Linked DNA regions of Daphnia pulex. The protein of the gene in region 1 binds, or shares a complex with, the protein of each later gene. Links are inferred from orthologs where the notes say so. Each region holds a gene or a part of one and is shown on either strand. Other genes may lie near its edges.

The links.
Region 2: the proteins of eukaryotic translation initiation factor 2 subunit 1-like (region 1) and translation initiation factor eIF-2B subunit beta-like are in contact, whole or in part, in a cryo-EM structure (PDB 6K71), measured with the Homo sapiens proteins. The link is inferred for Daphnia pulex from reciprocal best matches to the Homo sapiens genes EIF2S1 and EIF2B2. Residues at the interface, in NP_004085.1 of Homo sapiens: Leu51, Ser52, Arg53, Arg54, Ile56, Asn60, Lys61, Leu62, Arg64, Arg67, Lys87, Ser91; in NP_055054.1 of Homo sapiens: Glu92, Arg95, Gln128, Ser131, Asn132, Glu135, Ala136, Glu139, Val142, Glu143, Glu145, Glu149, Asn150.
Region 3: the proteins of eukaryotic translation initiation factor 2 subunit 1-like (region 1) and translation initiation factor eIF-2B subunit alpha-like are in contact, whole or in part, in a cryo-EM structure (PDB 6K72), measured with the Homo sapiens proteins. The link is inferred for Daphnia pulex from reciprocal best matches to the Homo sapiens genes EIF2S1 and EIF2B1. Residues at the interface, in NP_004085.1 of Homo sapiens: Ala28, Glu29, Met30, Tyr33, Gly44, Met45, Leu47, Leu48, Arg75, Lys80, Tyr82, Ile83, Asp84, Arg88; in NP_001405.1 of Homo sapiens: Gly39, Thr41, Ile42, Gln43, Gly44, Leu45, Arg46, Ala47, Asn48, Glu70, Arg74, Ser77, Ser80, Leu81, Glu82, Tyr83, Ser84, Asp85, Tyr86, Cys89, Leu305.

The regions. Positions count from the first base shown.
Region 1 is NC_060028.1:8,095,294-8,098,722, reverse strand, and holds eukaryotic translation initiation factor 2 subunit 1-like, read right to left. Parts: upstream 2,288-3,429; 5' UTR 2,126-2,287; intron 2,016-2,125; 5' UTR 2,000-2,015; coding exon 1,762-1,999; intron 1,699-1,761; coding exon 1,470-1,698; exon of another isoform or gene 1,384-1,469; coding exon of another isoform or gene 1,347-1,383; intron 1,303-1,346; coding exon 954-1,302; intron 892-953; coding exon 810-891; intron 745-809; coding exon 641-744; 3' UTR 556-640; downstream 1-555. Other genes in the region: reticulon-4-interacting protein 1 homolog, mitochondrial-like, read left to right, coding at 1-282, 348-526, 1,347-1,383; uncharacterized protein LOC124208437, read left to right, coding at 2,810-2,956, 3,031-3,164, 3,233-3,345, 3,412-3,429. UniProt on the Homo sapiens protein: Member of the eIF2 complex that functions in the early steps of protein synthesis by forming a ternary complex with GTP and initiator tRNA. This complex binds to a 40S ribosomal subunit, followed by mRNA binding to form a 43S pre-initiation complex (43S PIC).
Region 2 is NC_060019.1:5,860,660-5,864,168, reverse strand, and holds translation initiation factor eIF-2B subunit beta-like, read left to right. Parts: upstream 1-1,283; 5' UTR 1,284-1,423; coding exon 1,424-1,488; intron 1,489-1,568; coding exon 1,569-1,655; intron 1,656-1,722; coding exon 1,723-2,001; intron 2,002-2,065; coding exon 2,066-2,222; intron 2,223-2,290; coding exon 2,291-2,485; intron 2,486-2,549; coding exon 2,550-2,746; intron 2,747-2,820; coding exon 2,821-2,893; 3' UTR 2,894-2,959; downstream 2,960-3,509. Other genes in the region: asparagine-rich zinc finger protein AZF1-like, read right to left, coding at 3,343-3,509. UniProt on the Homo sapiens protein: Acts as a component of the translation initiation factor 2B (eIF2B) complex, which catalyzes the exchange of GDP for GTP on eukaryotic initiation factor 2 (eIF2) gamma subunit.
Region 3 is NC_060023.1:2,531,169-2,534,849, reverse strand, and holds translation initiation factor eIF-2B subunit alpha-like, read right to left. Parts: upstream 2,276-3,681; 5' UTR 1,925-2,275; coding exon 1,912-1,924; intron 1,853-1,911; coding exon 1,745-1,852; intron 1,677-1,744; coding exon 1,537-1,676; intron 1,473-1,536; coding exon 1,095-1,472; intron 1,036-1,094; coding exon 910-1,035; intron 850-909; coding exon 691-849; 3' UTR 624-690; downstream 1-623. Other genes in the region: uncharacterized protein LOC124198557, read right to left, coding at 1-216, 273-408; palmitoyltransferase ZDHHC6-like, read right to left, coding at 2,603-2,735, 2,805-2,995, 3,061-3,276, 3,339-3,479, 3,550-3,629.

The DNA.
Region 1 (3,429 bases):
AGTTCACGGGCAATGATTACCGCCCAGCAATTGGGTGTAGATGAACTTATTCTTCATAATGGCCATGATTTGGATTTTGATTCTTTGCTGTCGTCTCTTCCTAAGTTTGACCTTGTGCTCAATACCGTTGGCTCGATTTTGCACGACTCGTGCCGTGTCCTCTGTCGAGAAGGAGGTTTGGTAGTTTCAACCGTCGCCTCCCCACCTGCGTCTGACAAATATGGCTTGTTTTACGGATCACTCTACTCTATGTGGCTTCGAATGAAACTCGTATTTCTCAAGGTTAGTCCAGCCCAGCTCCTGAAAAGCTTCCAAGCATTAAATGACTAACTTCCACCTGTTCTTAGAGTTCTATTTGTGGTTCGACCGTAATATCCACCTCAATTTTGGATGAAATCTCAAATCTAGTCAACAAAGGACATCTTCAACCAGTTATTGAGCGCGTGTTTGAAATTGATCAAGCTGAACAAGCCGGACAATACGCCGCCCAGGGTGACCACATCGGGAAAATCATCATACGATTTAGGTACTGCTAAAAAAATATACAAAAGAATCTTCACTCAAGTTGTGTAATCGGAGCGGAGTTGCGCCAAGCGCAGTAATTTCCATCGTCTGTAAAAAATAAGAGTGCGGTATATCTTTATTCTTCTTCTTCCGCTTCGCCTTCTTCGCCACCTTCCTCTCCGCTTCCAGCGTCATTGGCTCCTGCTCCCTCAGCTTCCATGTCAGATTGATCGTCATCACCTGTTGATAAATATGCCCAGCTATATAGATTCTTTTCGTAATTATACATCCGACTCCATCCTTACCTGCGATTTCAGCATTCTCCAACTCAGCCTTCTCCATCTGGCGAGCCAATTCAGCTTCATCCATAGCAGTAACAACTTTGGGCTGTTAAAATAGAAATTGCGTTATACTTAGGTTGTTGATCTGTAGACGAGAGATGAACTTACAGCCATTTGAATGTTGAAAACGCCACCAAGTGCAACAATTATCTCTTTCACTTTTTCTATGGCTAATTCTAGTCCTTTGAGTCCGTCTTGACGTTCAGGCGTCTGCGTAGTCATGACGTAAAGTGGTGGAGCAATCAAGTTAATTTTTATAGGAATCTCTTCAGTGGAGCAGGCAATTCCAGCTTTCAAAGCTTTCTTAACGGCACCAATTCCTTCGTAGCCATAACAGGCCACCTCGATGTCAGCTCGGATTTTCACAGCTTGCTGAGTCAGCTTCCGCCTAATAATCCCCAGTAGCACTTCCTTTGTGTTGTCATCCAAGCCGCATTCGTCAAGAAGAGAAGGATCACTACATATTCAAAATAAACTAATATTATGTTCTTGAAATTTTAGGAACCGGCCATTGAACCGTATGGAGGGATTTGCATAGAAGCTGCACAGGAACAAGGTGTGCCAAATTTGTGAAATGTAGTAATGTAACAAAACTAACTGGGGTTGAATAAAGAAAAAACTTACTTGACAGCTTGCTTGAAGACATCATATGAAGAAGATTGCTTTTTGGATTTCTCCTCAAAAAGCCAAGCTGTTTTTCTGTAGAGTTCCTCAAGCTCTTCATCAGTCTGATATTTCAAGAGTTCAGCAACATGTCTTAAAATTGAATTTACTGCCTTGGCCTTGGAATACTTCTCCAAGCATTTGTCTACATCCTCAGGGCTAACACGTCTTTTTGACAGATCAATATAACCTGTGGTGACATGAAGAAAATTGGTTATTTAAAGAAACAACCCAAACAGTAAATTAAACAAACCTTTTTCCTTGTCAACCCTGATAACTACAACTGGTTCTGTTTTACCAACTCTGATGAGCTTGTTAATGGAACGGATACGCCTCCTGGACAACTCAGAGAGCAAGATCATGCCCTCAATATTGTTGTACTCTAGTAGGTGCACATAAGCTCCCATCTCAGCAATGGATCTCACATTCACCATCACTACATCATCCACTTCTGGATATTTTTGACCGTAGTACCGACAAAATAAGGGCATTTTTCACGATGGCAGCCTAGGTGGATGGTGAACAATACCGACATTTTAGATAGCGAAATTACAGCTTTCCTCCACGTTAAAGATTATGTTCTCTAAGCTAGAATTTTTTTTCTATTCCTAAATTACCTAACGTATTAAGAAGAAAGAATAAATGTGAGGGATTATCCAAAAAATAAGGTGATGCCGGGACAGCAGCGTTTCTTACGTCAGCAATGAAAATCCACTGGACAAGCAGACTACGGTAAAAGCATGTGGAAAGTCCCGCGTTGCCAAAATGGTGCGCAATCCGATAACGTGATTCGCATTCCCGTGTTTCGTGATTTGTTTTAAAAATAAATATGTATCCATAATTTGTTTAACGAAACCAATTTCAATTGATATCCAATGGCTTAATTACGGCTTGAACATATTCACCACAAATTCTGCATTAACAACATCTCCAAACCAAACGTTTATTGACCGGCCTGAGATAAGAATTGTTTTTTTTTTTAAGTATCACATTTAGAAAGTAGACGTTGAAGTGAAAGCTGGTTTGATAGAAACGATCGCGCATCAAACCTATTGACCTGACCAATCGCACTATTTTCTTATCTATCTTTCCTATCGTTCTATATGAGAAACGCTCAAAAAAGTTACTATCTGCACACAGTATACGCACGAATATGACGAACACAAACATTAAAAACGAACATTCGTCGTCGTCGTTTGTCGGCACCATTCAGTGGAACCTTCCAGTGTGTTTCTTTTGGTTGTTGTATCACCCAGTTTCAAAATTCACTGCACACCGTGTAATTTACTTATAGCGTAAAAATGATACGGTTCACTGAAGAAGATGTAACCAATAATGGAGAAGTTACCGATGTTTACTTCAATGATAATCGAGTCAGAAGAATACTAAAATCCATGTACACCGTCAACAGTGCGATTACTCTCCCATCGCTCGTTCTTCTGATTCCGGCAAGTAACACACAAAACTCAGTTTAAGAGGAAAATGATAATTTTAAAAAATGAAATTGTTGTTGTCATTGAAGATATTGGCAAGTTTTATGGATCCCAGCCGAGACTACATATTGTTTTTATGTCTTGGACTATTTCCATCCATCTGCATTTGTCAGATCTCTGCATTCATTGCAAAAGCTGCTAAAAAGAACAGAAGTATCAAATTGTAAATAACAAAATATTAACTATACTGCCATCTGTTTTTCTGAACGGTAACGTGATTTTATTATTTAGATTAAAGGCGTCAGCTGTCCTTGCCGTTTGCTATTGCGTACTCGGTATCTTGGGACTTATCTCAGTGGGCGCACTTCTCGTACTTTGCTGCAAATCGTGCGAGAGACCGACCTGTAATGTGGTTACTAATATCCGAATGCTTTGATCCTATGTAATTGAAATTTGAATGAATGTTCCAGGTGTTAGTGACGCAATTT
Region 2 (3,509 bases), on another chromosome or scaffold:
GGTCAAGATATTAAACTTTTTTTTTTCTTTTTTTGGCCGGAAAACATCAAAATCAATTTGATTCCGACTCCATTGTTGTTTATAAATAAACGGGCTTGCTCCCGGTACTTAGACACCATCGAGCGTCCCGTGATTAAATTATCGCTTTATTCAATCAATGGTCTTGTATCCGACGCCTACAGGTTTGTCTTTATTTACTTTAGCTGTCACATTATTTCGCCGGCGATGTATTGATTAAGACGTAGGCACCAGGGCCCACCAGAAACGAACAAAAATAAGTTTCCCGACAATGTCTAATTTCGCTGCTCCAAATGTAGTAGGATGTGAAAAACATTCTAAAGAGGCGACAGCGTAAGAAGCCCATCATTCATTTAAAATTGTGTCAAGAGTAATCGTGAAAAACAAGTCACAATATATACTGTACGTATACGACGGAATGAATATAAATGCAGGAGCGAAATCCAACTTGGAAGTGTTACCAAGTTGTTACCAAGTTGAAATTCAGATTTTTCCTCTTTCACGACGAGGGGTTTTATGGCATTTTTCCATGTGGGATGATTCGGGTTTTATTTCCATTGTCTTTTTACCCACAGGTTCAGGTCAGATCTTCCCATTGTCTTTCTTCGTGTGTTCGCTGATCCAAGTTTTGTATATAGTTAAGCAGCACCTCTTGACAGCGTGTGGCCGCCCATTTTTACCGAGAAAGGTAGTGGTGCTGTTAGGTGAAAGCTCCCTCACCAAAAATTTTACTTCGACCTAATCAAAACTTGGCCGTAAATTGTTACGACGATCTTTGACGTAATATTATTATGTGGTTGATTCCAACGCCCCGGATACATATCAAAGTAAGACCCAAAAACATTAAACGTTAACGCGAAATCACTCTGAATTTATGGATGACATTTTGTCTTGACGTAGAGTGTACACTTGCACATTTTACGCAATCGGGATTGGCTATCGTTTTAGATTGGGTATTAAGGCAGTGCTGATTGTAATCGCACCAATAATCTTATTGGTTGAATTATCATAGATAACACAAATTTAAAGGTGTGCGCAACGACAATAAAAGATAACGAGTAAAAGCATAAAAGATGACGAATTTATCTACTTATCTTACACTCACTCTGTTATCAAACCAACCATAACCAGGGGTATGGTAGGGCCTATAGAGATATGGATATGCCATAAGCCCAGGCATAACCAACCATAACGAACCAGATCGCTTTTTCAGAGGCTTTCTTCGAAAGATGATGTACGTATTTGAGCGATCGGGCACTCGCGCAGTAGCAGTTGCAGTTGCAGACGAACTTTGTAAATAAACAATACGCTGCAAAATTCTCGTTTTCTCCAGTGAACTACTTCACTTTATTATCTGTCTTTAAACCAGTTATTTCAGAATAAATTATAGAAAATCAGTGTGAAAATGCCGAGTCTTGAAAGTGAAATTGAAGGTATAATTGAAACTTTCACCAACAATCTTAAGCAAAGGTATGATTGTTATAGGCCATAGAAGTAATGCTGGCTATTCCATCTCGTTATTGACATTCTGTGTTTCTTTTTATTCGTAGAAAGTTCAAAGGATCGAGAGACTTGGCCCTTAATTCCGTACAGCTTTGGAAAAAAATCATTGGTCAAATGAAATGGCAGAATGCAAGGTTTGTTAGTTTATCTCAAGTCCAGAATTCCTGTTCCAGTTATTAAGTGATTCAATTCAATCTGTAGGGAGCTTATGGACACCATAAAAAGAATAGGTAAAGATTTGGCAGAGACTGCACCTTCAGAAACAGTCATTGGCAACATGACAAGAAGAATGTTAAAGATTGTCAGGGATGAGTATGCCATGCTGCAGAAAGGAAAACAAGAAGAATCTGATTTGCAAGACTCACTTCAAAAAATTCTCACAGCAGATGAAAGTGATTCTGATTACACTAAAAACATCCCCTTGCTCAAACCAGCCATCATGGAGCACATTGGAGAGTTCCTTGCCGAATTAGAATCCAGGTTTGAGAATTTACCACATGTCTAGCTTCACAGCCTATTCAACTACCTTAATTTGTTTCCACAGTGAAATCGACATTTCCGCCCAGGCCCTAGAACACATTCACGCTAACGAAATCATCATGACTATTGGTTATTCTAAAACTGTCTCGGCGTTTCTGAAGTCAGCTGCGAAAAATCGTGTTTTCCAGGTCATCGTTGCTGAATGTGCTCCATTTTTCCACGTAGGCAGCGAATTTGAAAACGTTTATTTGCATAACACCTGTATATTTACTCCAGACTATTATTACAGGGACATCAATTGGCTGCAGATTTAGCCGAAGCTCGTATCTCTACTACCCTTATTCCGGATTCTGCCATTTTCGCAATGATGGCACGTGTGAATAAAGTAATCATCGGTACTCATTCTGTTATGGCCAACGGTGGTCTAAAAGCAGTGTGTGGCACTCATACCCTTGCACTGGCTGCAAAGCATTATTCGGTTCCGGTAATGGAATAAGTTTTGTAGGCCTACACTTTCAGCTAAAATAATTTATTTTTTATGATTTCAGTTCGTCGTATGTGCACCAATGTTTAAACTCTGTCCCGAATATGTCTGTAGCCTTGATCAAGATGGATTCAACCAGTTTGTGTCACCCGAGGAAGTATTGAACAACGACGAAGGCAAGCTCGTTTCCAAAGTGAACGTCTACAATCCAATTTTCGACTACGTACCTCCAGAGCTCGTCACACTCTTTATTTCAAATACGTAAGCGAATTATTTTTAAATAGTTTGAAGATAATGAAGAAGTATCTATTTTATAATCACACTTGTTTCTCTAGCGGAGGCAATGCACCGTCTTACATCTACCGACTCCTCAGTGAACTGTACCACCCTTTGGACGTGCAATTGTAATGTGGGAAAAAATGGCTTTGTATTAAAAAGGCCGAGATACATAAACACACAGCACTAAGAAAATTACGAACATGGAGTGAATTTTTGTTTCGTTTCAAAACTACAGTTGGGTTCTAAGTATTGGTCTTCTCTATCAGCAAGATTAAAAGAGTAAACACCAAAAGCACGAATCGATTGGTTAAAGCTTCATCAAGACACTGGATCGAAAGGAGAGAGTAAATTAAATAAGTAGTGAAGAGAACAGTCGATTCATCTTTCAGGTACGAGAAAGAGTTCTCAAAATAAAGTAGTGATGGAAATGGAGAAATATCATAATAAGCGAAAATAATACCGTTTTTCACTGAGCAATTACAAGGAAATGGAACAGCAGATTAGAAATTGACAGAATTGGAAGGATAGGTTATTGAGAGAGACAAAACTTTGGTGAATTCATTATGTTCATTTTCTTTTCAGCACTGCGAACTTGAAGAGGCCAGCTGCATCAAAGCAATCGCGCCAGTCCATTGTTTTTCGGCGTTTTGGAGTGCTCGCATTAAGGTGCTGTTATTGGGTTTATCTGGTGTGGACGTGTTTTTGGGTTGAAATACCCTGGGTGAAGCTATTATGACACTGGGTC
Region 3 (3,681 bases), on another chromosome or scaffold:
ATTTCTGATGAGCTTTATCTCCAGTAGAAACTAGAACTTTGTTTAGAATGTCTTCAATGTTATCCCGTAGCCTTTCTGAATAGGCAGCAACAGCATCTTGCTCTTTTTCTAAGGCATTAAACTTCATTTCCTTCAGGGTATGATTCAGACATAGTTCTGTTATTTTATGTTTCTTCCCAGAAGGAGGTAGGGATGAGTCTACCGCAGCACAAGCAGCTGTAAAAACTTCATAGTGAACAAATTGACAAACAATATCCACAACATTTCATTACCTCGAAAAGTTGAACCAGAACCACCACCAGTAATACTTCTGTTAAGACTTGGTCTCCTCTTTATGAAGTCATCAATGTTGTTTCTTTCTCTTGGAAATTTCTCCGGAATGTGGTCTTTATTTGGCTCATTTAACATCTTTTTCCTCACAGTTTTCTGTAGTTGTCTCAATTAAACTTTGTTATTATTCCCTAATTTTGATTGTTAAAAAGTTAGAGCTAAATTAGCACCAACGCTAACAACTTCAACGGTTTCCAATTTGAAGTGCATCGTTCGAAACGCCACCTTGCGACAGATGACCTTACTGCATGTTATATTTTCCACACGCGCAGGAAAATGTCTAAAATCACAAAAAAAGTGACATGAACGTGTATTTTATTTACACATTTATCGATGTTTTTATATTTAGACGACTCTCTTTCATAGATAAAGTTTAATTAATTCATCACTGACGGCTGATGGAGTGAGAATTCCCAAATCTGTGAAAAGCAAAGTCAAATATCCTGGTGGCGTGTAATCAACTTGAGGATGCTGATCGAGAAGATTAGAATGATTGGATTCAATAATAGTTGACGAGAACTAAAAAAATTCAACACAAGTTTCAGCATTATGGAAAATTGGTTAAAAAATTTAACATACTTTCAGTTCTTGGGGTAAATCGCGTTGGTTCAGCGGGTAGAGACGGACAAATTTGAAGCTCTCAGCGAGAACGTAAAAGGGTTTGTGCATTTCCTTGGCACACAGCGCCATAGTATATGTTCCAATCTATTTCAATAAATTTTTCAATTTTTTTAAATAGTCAAATAAATATATTTTATCCGTACCTTATTGATAATGCCTCCGCTTTCAACAACACCTTCAGCTCCAACAAGCACTAAATCCACTGATTCCATGACATAACCCATGGCCGAATCCAAAATGAGAGTCGAACCAATACTGTGTTTCAATAGCTCGTCTCTCATAGCGACACCACTTAGATCCGGGTGAGATTCAGTGATGAAAACATGGAAACGTTTTTTGGATATAACAGCTGCTTCAACTAGTGTTTGTAGAACCACTCTTGATTTGGAGTGAGTGAGGATTTTGTGTCCATCAAGAATAAAAGGAGCCCCTAGTCTTGCAATTTTAGGTCTAGCCTCTTGTAATTTCCTTAGAAAAATTTCTCCTCGTTTCTTCATAATCTCCTTGCAATCTTTGAAATTCTAAAAAGAATGTTTTATTTTAAATCTATTAAAAATTTATGATTCATATTTATAGACAACATACTGATTGTTCAAGAGAAGTAAGTGTGATAAACCGTTGAAACAGTTCACAGCCTGATTGAACTGATGTAATTGAGCATTCAGCTTTCTTCATTTCTTCTGTTGCTTTTCTCAGTTCTTCCGACAATCCACGAAGAGTTTCACCTGTGAATATGATAGTCTTTAATGTTGATAATGATTATGCTTATAGATATTATTTTGTTTTTACTAACCATCACCAAAGTTTTCCAATATATTCATTAATGTGCGGATAGCTGCAACAGCTGCTGAAACATCCGGCTCTTCTTTCACAATTTTTTGGAAAAAATCCAATACATTTCCTAAAAGCACATTGATTACATTAGTTTTTTTATTAACATTATTTAATAACTAAACCTACTTGTATTTTCCATTTTATACTTATATCTTTTTTGCGCACTAGTAAACTTTTTTCCTCTCTACTTAACTTGGAGTTTCAGCTAGAAGAGCAGCACAGCAGCTTGCCAGCTTGCCACCGTTCCAGCAGCAGACGACACAATGAAAAGTCAACACTCCAGTCAGTCAAAACACTTGAGTACTGTACTTGTTTCTGATTGGCCCTCACCGATTAGTCCCAGGGAAGGATCTGCCGAGAGCCCTAGATTGATATGTCCATTATGTCACACGCAACCGCAAACATTCATAAACTGCTGTTATCGTTTGATGAAAGAAGAATACTTAAGTCATTCTATTCTTTTCACATTCCGCGTTAAAAACAAAAATGTCGTCGTCAACGTTGCCATTCTTCATCGTGCATGCACACAGGTACGGGTAGGGTAGCACCGGTAGCACGACCGACGAGCGACGACCGCACGGCGCACGAGATATCTGTCGAAAGTGAAATAAACGTTCATTTTGCATTTTTTTTTTTATTTTTTTAACCATAGTTTATTTCAAGATTTTGTGAATTTGTCAGATGAAAACCACCCGAAACATTTTAGACAAGGTGCAATTTTAGGTGCTTTGCTTCAAAACAAAGTGGTGTGTAAATAAAAGTAAGATTATTGGAACTTTTTGTTGTCTTATCCATTCAATTAAACTAATTTAAACAATCATTCCTCTTTTTCATATTCCACATAGGAAGGAGAGCAGGATGTACGAGGAAACCAACCGCGCAGTGCTCGGCGCTCAGTTGGATTCATTTGAACTTGACCCCTTTCTTGAATTTCGCCGTAAAGCCAATATCTGATTAAAGGACAATTATAAAAGTTTTGAAAGGCAAAAATTTCTTGTTGGAAGTTGTTTTTATCATACTTTTTCCATCGAGTAACCGCCACCTTATCTCCAATCTGCAGAGAGATGCGTGTCTCGTCGGTGTATGGTGGCTGAAGACAAACCATAATGCCGAAACTAATAATAGGGAACCACCTTCCACTGTATGCTTTCTCTACTACGTATTCTACGCAGCGTTCCCTTTTAATCTTTTTCTGTTCAATTTGTTCAATCTGTCAAAAATGAATAAATAGCTATAAAAGGTAGAAAATCTATAGAACTATGCATAGGATTATACCGTGAAAGCGTATGGATGGCAATTGTCCCGGACTTTCCACTCGATGCCATCACCTTTAGGCTGGAAAGAGAAATTTATTACTTCAACCAGATTCTTTCGCCATCCTAAATTGTAGGGGTGAATGAAAGAGGGTTCATCGGTTCCTTCTCGACGATAAACAGCTTTTTCATGAACCCAGTCTTCAATGCCTGTTTGATTTCTTAAAACCACTTTCATCTATGAAAGAATCAATCACTTTTAGGTTAAATAAAGAACATATAATCCAAAGAAATTCAAACCTGGACAAAAAATAGAAAACCAACAGCAAACACTACTCCGGCTGCTAATCCTAAGGAAATCAGACTCATCACAAAAGGCCATAGTCCCAATATTATAAAAGGCACTTCTCGTAGATTTGAATGGTCGTAGTAATCAAATGTCTATTTTTAAACAATATGATTCGTTTTTAAATTGTTTGTAACAAGCATACAAATTTTAGATTTAGCCAACCGGGTGAAGAGCTCTGTACATGGTGCATGAAATTATTACGATGGCTTGGGCGCATCCAATAACAGCGGAAATGAGGAATGCTAACGAAACAATGGTGATTTATGAAACATAATATGAATGATTAGGTATTAT